2 linked regions of the Stegostoma tigrinum genome follow. The protein of the gene in region 1 purifies or fractionates together with the protein of each later gene. This does not show direct contact. Links are inferred from orthologs where the notes say so. Each region holds a gene or a part of one and is shown in the gene's direction. Other genes may lie near its edges. The genes, in order: mtor and akt1s1.

Evidence for each region.
Region 2: the proteins of mtor (region 1) and akt1s1 purify together in Homo sapiens (affinity purification with western blotting; 8 studies listed by BioGRID and IntAct, with this or other methods). This does not show direct contact. The link is inferred for Stegostoma tigrinum from reciprocal best matches to the Homo sapiens genes MTOR and AKT1S1.

Annotation. Positions count from the first base shown.
Region 1 is NC_081381.1:39,048,840-39,052,755, forward strand, and holds the start of mtor (serine/threonine-protein kinase mTOR), read left to right. Parts: upstream 1-1,405; 5' UTR 1,406-1,505; intron 1,506-3,916. Other genes in the region: ubiad1 (ubiA prenyltransferase domain-containing protein 1), read right to left, coding at 590-1,097. UniProt on the Homo sapiens protein: Serine/threonine protein kinase which is a central regulator of cellular metabolism, growth and survival in response to hormones, growth factors, nutrients, energy and stress signals.
Region 2 is NC_081391.1:21,800,361-21,804,276, reverse strand, and holds the start of akt1s1 (proline-rich AKT1 substrate 1), read left to right. Parts: upstream 1-1,547; 5' UTR 1,548-1,574; coding exon 1,575-1,613; intron 1,614-3,259; exon of another isoform or gene 3,260-3,916. Other genes in the region: tbc1d17 (TBC1 domain family member 17), read right to left, coding at 256-294. UniProt on the Homo sapiens protein: Negative regulator of the mechanistic target of rapamycin complex 1 (mTORC1), an evolutionarily conserved central nutrient sensor that stimulates anabolic reactions and macromolecule biosynthesis to promote cellular biomass generation and growth.

The DNA of each region.
Region 1 (3,916 bases):
AACAGCAAGCAGCAAAAGTGAGTTAATAGAAATGGATGGATAGAGGATAGAGGGGTCTTTTCCCTACTGTTGGGGAGTTCAAAACTAGAGGGCGTAGATTTAAGGTGATAGGGGAAAGAGTTAAGAGTACCTAAGGCATAACTTTTTCACGCAGAGTGGTGCGGAGTTACCAGTGCAAGTAGAGAAAGCAGGTACAATTACAACATTTAAAAGGCATCTGGATGGGTGTGTGAGTAAGAGTTTAGAGGGATATGAGCTAAATGCTGGCAAATAGGACTAAATCAGATTGAGATGTTTGGTTGACGCAACACAAGTTGGACCGAAGGATCTGTTTTTGTTCTGCATGACTCTATAACAAAACAACACAACGACAAAATATTACAATTAACAACTGCTCATGCTGGAAATCTGAGACAAAAAGAGAAATTGCCAGAGCAATTCAACAAGTCTCGTAGTATTTGCGGAGCGAAAACAGAGTTATCTCTTCGAGCCTGGCGATTCTTCTTCAGAGCAAAATAAGTGAATCGTCTCCAGCTAAAGGTCTAAACTGAAATAAGGGAACATCCTGCTTCTTTTCCTTCTTACTTACCTCCCGTGTACAGAAAAGAGCTGGATAGGCCACCGAAAAAGATCAGAGCTAAGTGCTCAAGTTTGAGTTTGCACAAAAAGTAGAGGGAACAGGCGCAGAGGCAGCCCAGAGTGTAGAGGCAGGCTCCGAACCGCACCACGTCCTGTGGCTCTAGGATCCGGTCCACCAGGGTCCGGTCGTCGCTCTTCTTATGATCGATGCCCCTGCTGAAGTCGTAATAAGTGTTCACTAGGTTACCGGCTGCGTGTACGGCCAGCACGGCCAAGGCAGCCAGTAGGGAAATGGTCAGATCGAGCTCGCCCAGATTCTTGTAAGCCAGGGCCGTACCCAGGGCAACAGGGGTAAGCGAGGCGCTGAAGCTCCAGGGCCGCAGTGCAAGCACATACGCGGCGCACTTCTGCTTCAAGCTCCTGCCGAGACCCTGCACCACTTCCCTGTCCACAGCGGGGATCTGCATTCTCGACTCGGCGTCCACTTCCATCTGCTTAGCCTCCCCATTCTCTTTCATCCTCGGCCCGTCTCACCTACTCTCCAGTAATCACCGGCTGACAACCGCCATCTGCCAACAAGCCCACATCGCAGGAAAGTCACGACCTCAAACCGACATGCTACACATGCGCAAATGCTCAACCGTCTGGAGAGTGGGAGGAGACCGGTCCGCGCGACTGTAACGGAATTCCTCGCGCACACCCACATGCGCATTGATGACTGCGACTCGCTTTCACTAACGTCATGGTGAGCCGCCCTCCAGCACATGGTAGCGCACCTGATTGGTTCACACAGATGTCAATCACCTGCGCGCTGTGCCTGAAGATCATTTTATTTCCTTTCAATATGGCAGCTTATATGGAGTAGAATTGTCAATTTACTTTGAAGTGAAGAATTTATGCTTTATTTATTGTAATACAACAAGAGAGTAAGTATACTTGGATGGTTATCCGTTATGATTATTTAAGTGTAAAATTCCAAGCGGCTAGGTTATAAAAATATCTTTCGGTGCTATTTGTAAGTTTTCTGGTGTATGTTCCAGAATTGAAGTTTGATAGATTTTGGGTTTATTATCATTTATAATTCATTGTCAGACAGTATCTCTAACTGATGAGCAAAGAAACGCATTTCAGAAAAAAAACTCCAGCATTTAGACAGAACGTAACACCCCAACAAGCAGCCTGATTGCAAAAACAGAAAATGCTAGAAAAAGCTCAGCAGATCTGGCAGCATCGGTGGAGAGAAATCAGACCCAGTGTTTCGGATCGAGTGATCCTTCTTCGGAACTCGACCCGAAACGTTAACTCTGATTTCTCACCGCAGATGCTGCCAGACCTGCTGAGCTTTTTCAGCAATTTCTATTTTAGTTTCTGATTTACAGCATTCGCAGTTCTTTCGATTTTTAAATAGCTTGGTTACCTATGGTAGATCATCTGTTTCACAGAAATAGAAAACATTACCATAATTCAATAAAGACACGAGGACATTCTGAGTGTTCTATTTACACATTAGAGGCGAAAAATGTGAAAAGGTGTTTTTTTTTTAAACAGGGGTGTATACTATTACTTTTAATGAGTCCGATAGGCCTGTTATTTCAAAATCTTTTATATATTTGGAACATGTCTGTTGGTTGGTTTTAACATTTATTTTCTAAGTTGCAAACTTATCTCTAATAGCTTTTTTGTCCTTATTTAAAGACTGCTTAGCCAAATATAAGACTCTTTTGAGACAAGCTTTCTCTTTGTTAAACTACATTTGTGAGATGAACAAGGTAGAAGGAAAAAAAAATTGAGAGACAGTGGCATTCCTGGCAATATAAATACTTTGAATTGTTGTAACTCTACTTCATGATGCTCCTTTATAGATCCTTACAAGTCCTACTGCAGCAAATTAAAGGATGGTGTTCTTATGAAGTGCCTTGGGACAATTATATTAGACACTGCTTAAAAGTTATTGTTTCTTGACTTTCTGTTGGTCTGTTTGATCTGTGTCACCTTTTGAGGGCTTGATTGGTTAGCGGGTGACATGATCATTTGAGGGGAGGCAGCAACATTGTGTTCATGTCACTGGCCTGGTAATTAAAAAAATGTTGTAAAATCCAGCTGACTGAAACCCCTCACCCACAACGTTCACCTGCAAGAGTGGCTTGGCAGTAGTATGACTGAGTTGGATGGGTCCAAAAGGACGTAGCTGCTAGATTGGGTCTGCAGCAGGCGGTGACGGAACCAACAAGAGGGGGAAAAATGCCTTGACCTTGTGCTTACCAATCTGTCAGCTACAGATGTATTGGCCCGTGACAGTATTGGTAAGAGTGACCACCTCACAGTTCTTTGGGAGGCGAAGTCCTGCGATCATGTTGAGAATAACACATTGTGTGGCACCGCCATTGTGCTAAGTGGGACAGACTTCAAACAGATCTAGCAACTCAAGACTGGGCATTCATTAGGCACTGATAATGGGAACTGCAGATGCTGGAGAATCCAAGATAACAAAGTGTGGAGCTGGATGAACACAACAGGCCAAGCAGCATCTCAGGAGCACAAAAGCTGACGTTTCGGGCCTAGACCCTTCATCAGGGAGGGGGATGGGGAGAGGGAACTGGAAATAAATAGGGAGAGAGGGGAATGCGGACCGAAGATGGAGAGAACACAAGATAGGTAGAGAGGGGAGTATAGGTGAGGAGGTGGGGAGGGGATTGGTCAGTCCAGGAGGCGGGATGAAGTGGTAGGTAGGAAATGGAGGTGCAGCTTGAGGTGGGAGGAAGGGATGGGTGAGAGGAAGAACAGGTTAGGGAAACAGAGACAGGCTGGGCTGGTTTTGGATGCAGTGGGGGGAGGGGATGAGCTGGGCTGGTTTTGGGTGCGAACCCAGCGGAGGTGTTCTGCAAAGCGGTCCCCAAGCCTCCGCTTGGTTTCCCCAATGTAGAGGAAGCCACACCGGGTGCAATGGATACAATATACCACGTTGGCAGATGTGCAGGTGAACATCTGCTTGATATGGAAGGTCATCTTGGGGCCTGGGATAGGGGTGAGGGAGGAGGTGTGGGGGCAAGTGTAGCACTTCCTGCGGTTGCAGGGTAAGGTGCCAAGTGTGGTGGGGTTGGAGGGGAGTGTGGAGCGGACAAAGGAGTCGCGGAGAGAGTGGTCTCTCCGGAAGGCAGATAAGGGTGTGGATGGAAAAATAGCTTGGGTGGTGGGGTCGGATTGCAGATGGCGGAAGTGACGGAGGATGATACGTTGGTTGGTGGGGTGGTATGTGAGAATGAGGGGGATCCTCTGGGCACGGTTGTGGCAGGGGCGGGGTGTGAGGAATGTGTTGCAGGAAATGCGGGAGACGCGG
Region 2 (3,916 bases), on another chromosome or scaffold:
TGAAGAATAAGTTGTTACCATCTTGTGACTCTTTCTTCATTATTACAATTCACACTGTACAGCATCCCTGAACTACAGGCATAAAAGCAAATTACTGCCTTATAACTCACCATAGAAAACAACATCCCACACCATATGAAAGTGCTGTTCTACTGTAGGATTTAAGGAACAAAATATCACCTTACAATCTTCTGTAAATAACCACATCCCATATTGCATGCACTGTACTATAAGGAGCTAGGAACTATTTATTACCTTGTGGCTCTCTGTTGCTGGCAACATCTTAAACCACATTCTAATGACTTTGTATTAAAGGGTGTAAGGATTCTCGACATACGGACACATCATCCCACATCACTGTACTACACAACAGGATATAAGAAATGAGTTATTACCTTGTGACTCTCTGTAGATGATCCCATCATTTTATTTCAGCTCGTCTCAAAACAAATCCCCTTGCATCACTTCCGGATGGTGCTTATTTCTTACTGGTTGTTAGTTGACTCTCCTACTATTAGGGAGGAGGAGGAGGGGTTTAGTCAGGATACCAATGGCATCATCCCAAGTTTTCATTGTCCAACTCTTTTTTTTAAACACTGCCCTATCTTTAGGAGTCGGGCTTGTGAATAAAGTTCCAAGTTCAGTGTCATATTTAGCAATTCCTATTATCTCTCATATTTTAGCTCGTTGGCTGACGTCAGTGTCTTATGACTTGGATGTTGCCCGGGGCTAATAAATTATTGTGACAAGTCTGGATTTAATCTCAAAAACAGGGTGCAGTGTGCCAGCAACGAGAGTAATCTTGTGCAAAGCTATCCTTCTACCTCGCTAAAAGCGCGGATCCTCTAATATTATCCATTGAATATTTTGGTTGATTTCTGCCTCTTTCTTTCAGATGTTACATGGTACAACAACGTAAAAATCGTAATTATAGAAAAGGCTCCCTCCCGGCCGCCATCTTTGTGAGGGGAACTGGTGTGTTGTCGGGGGAGGATGAGCTTGTGCTTAGATTCAAAGCCTTATGCTCTTCCCCTCTGGTTTTTTGGTGGAACACTCGACGCCCTTTGTATTTTTGTTCTCCCAGTCGCTGCAGGCCCCGAAGCTGCAGTTTAGTACTTGTTGCGCGTGGCTCTATGGCCGGCTGCCATCTTAATGCGGGGCTCACCCCCACCTCCGTACTCAGGAACAGTCACGCGGTCGCTCCTCGCTCCCTTCAAGTCACCTTTCGAGGTGAGGGATGGCGTTGAGTTTGACGCGATGGAGTGGAGTTGAGCGCACACTGACGGCGCAGAATGTTTAAAAATTCTCGAGGAAAGGAGTAAACAAACTCCCGCCATGTTTGTTCGGGGCGGTCGCCATGTTTGTGCGTGGCATGCGTGGGTATGTCCGTGGACACCGATTAATTTTTAATCGTTCCCTTTTTGAAATATAAATGCCCACGATCGTTGTCACTTGGCATCTGAAACAATATACTAGTGGGCAATGAGCTTAAGTAGAAAAGGTAGTTTTTTTCAAAAGCGTTTACATCGGACGTAGACGGTGACGTGCTGACATAAGAAGGCGACGCAGTGCGCATGCGGGCCTGGCTCTGGGAAGGTTGGAGGGAGACACCGGTAAGGAGCTTGGTGGGCTCTCAGCTGGTCTCCTGTGAATTAATCTTCCTTCTTCTGCCCTCCTTGCGTCCTCTACTTGTCCCTTCTCATCTCCTACCTGCTGTCCACGCTTACAACTCTCTGCACGCTGCCTCAGGACCCTTTATTCACTCTTCGTTTTTTTGGGGGGGGTGGGGGTGTCTATCAACGCTTCTCCCATTGCTGCTGTTTGCTTTGTTTCTGCACCTGAGGCTGTTTATAGTGTGTAATCTGCCTGACCATGCTCTGGTTTTGGGGGAGGTGTTGTTCGGATCTGTCTGACCGAGTTCTGGTTTTGCAGGAGGTGTCTGTATTTGTAGTGATCAGCTACTTCATGCTGTAGTTTTTGACGAGGTATTTGGAGTGATCTAGCTGACCGTGCTCTGGTTCTTGGGAGAGGTGATTGTAAGGCTCTATCTGACTGGTTTTGGGGGTTGGTGGGGATTGTTACCGTGTGTTGCAGGAGGTCGTTATCCTTAACCAGCCTTGAGTTAGTGTTCTGTATTGGCATTGTACTGTGTTCTTGCATTTGTGTGTATTCGGTTTGCTTTCAACATCACTCATTTGAAGATTTCTGCAGTATGAGCTGCTAACTTACCTCAATGTGAATATTTTTGTTTATCAAGCCTTTCCTCAGTGAAGTTGTGCTCTGTGGCCTGCTGCAGTTTTGGAAGGGATCTTTTGGATGCAATATTAAGTTAAGTCCTGTCCCTATCTGCTCTTTCAAGTAGCTGTAATGGCTCCTATGGCACTATGCTGAACATCATTAGGATCACTAATGACTGGCCCAGTGTTTAGCCCTCAACTGGGTTATCTGATCACTGCGTATATCAGAGCTTGCTGTTAAGTTAATTGTGGTTTTCCCTTGTGTTACAGCAATGGCCATGCTTCAATAGCATCTAGTTTTAAAGTTCTTTGGGAGACCTTGAAAGCTGATGCATGATTCCAAGTATTTCTCCTCCTTGTGTGAATTAGAAGCCACTACAACATTCTGACTTGAACATGAGACCTCTGCTGATACTTGAGTGCAGCCTTAAGGCAGTAGCTTATTATCAGAGGTGCAATCTTGTGTTTTGTGTAAGGTGTTAACCTGAAGTCATGTCTCCTTTCCTCTGGGAACGTAAAAGAGACTTGCCCTTCTGTGTGGTAGGCAAGGTCTTCTGGTATCTTGAATAATTTTCTGGAAGTTAAGCAAAAATGTGCATTTCTGTAGTGGCTTTCAGTGCATCCTCAACTGAACCACTTTTGATGTCTGTGTGATCATGTGCATACTAGTACAGCCAATTTGTGCGCAGCAAGTTCCCAGAAACAACAATGTACAAGTAGACAGATAATCTGTCTTAGGGATGGTAGTTGAGGGGTGACTAATGATCAAGACACCAGAGAGAACTTATTTTTACCCCTTTTGTTTTTGAGTGATGAAAGTTTTACATCAGAGGATAGCTGGTGGCCTTTGTTCAATATTTTCCTGAATAGCAACAATCGCCAACAGTGCAATTTTCTCAATTGCATAGTGTTTTAACTAAAGCTGTGTTCTCTAGTCTGTGATTTTGGGATTTGAACCCACAACCACGGCCACCCGTAGAGCCAAGGCTGGCATGAGCATTCGGAACTTTAAGTATTTGGAAGAATGTTGTCTTGGCATGGTTATGTAGATGAACTTTTATGTTACAGTTCTCACCTAATAATTACTTCTGAATTGTGGATTTGTACCAAATGTGTTGACGCCTTTGAGACTGAAGGGTATTATTGTTTTCTGAATAGCCGTTTTGACTTCCTGGCTTCTTTTGAACCTTGCCAAACAAACTGTGCAGCCATTTTATTTTGTAAATGGTGTTGTCGTGAGGGGTTTATAAGAGCTATAGCAAAAGGACAGTGCGATGTAAATATACTCCTAAAGAGGTGCTCTTGGTCTATGCCATTGTGAAGGCAACCTGTGGGTAGTAGAACACTTGGGATCTGCTAAAGATGGAGTTTTCCCAAACTATGCAATCTTTCTTTTTGTTCATGGAGTCTGAGCACATTGGCTAGGTCAGCATTTATTGACCATCCCTACTTGCCCATTAGGTGGTGGGGAGCTGCTGTTTTGCACTATTGCAGATCATGAGGTTTAGAGCATCCTTGGGGCCATTAAGGAATTCCAGGATTTTAATTTGGTGGCAGTGAAGTAACAGTGCTCTAGTTCCAAGGTTGGATGGGCTGTGGCTTAGAGGGGAACTTGCAGGTTTCTGTGTACTTGCAGCCCTTGTTTCTCTTAGTGGTAAAGGTCATGGGTTTGGAAGATA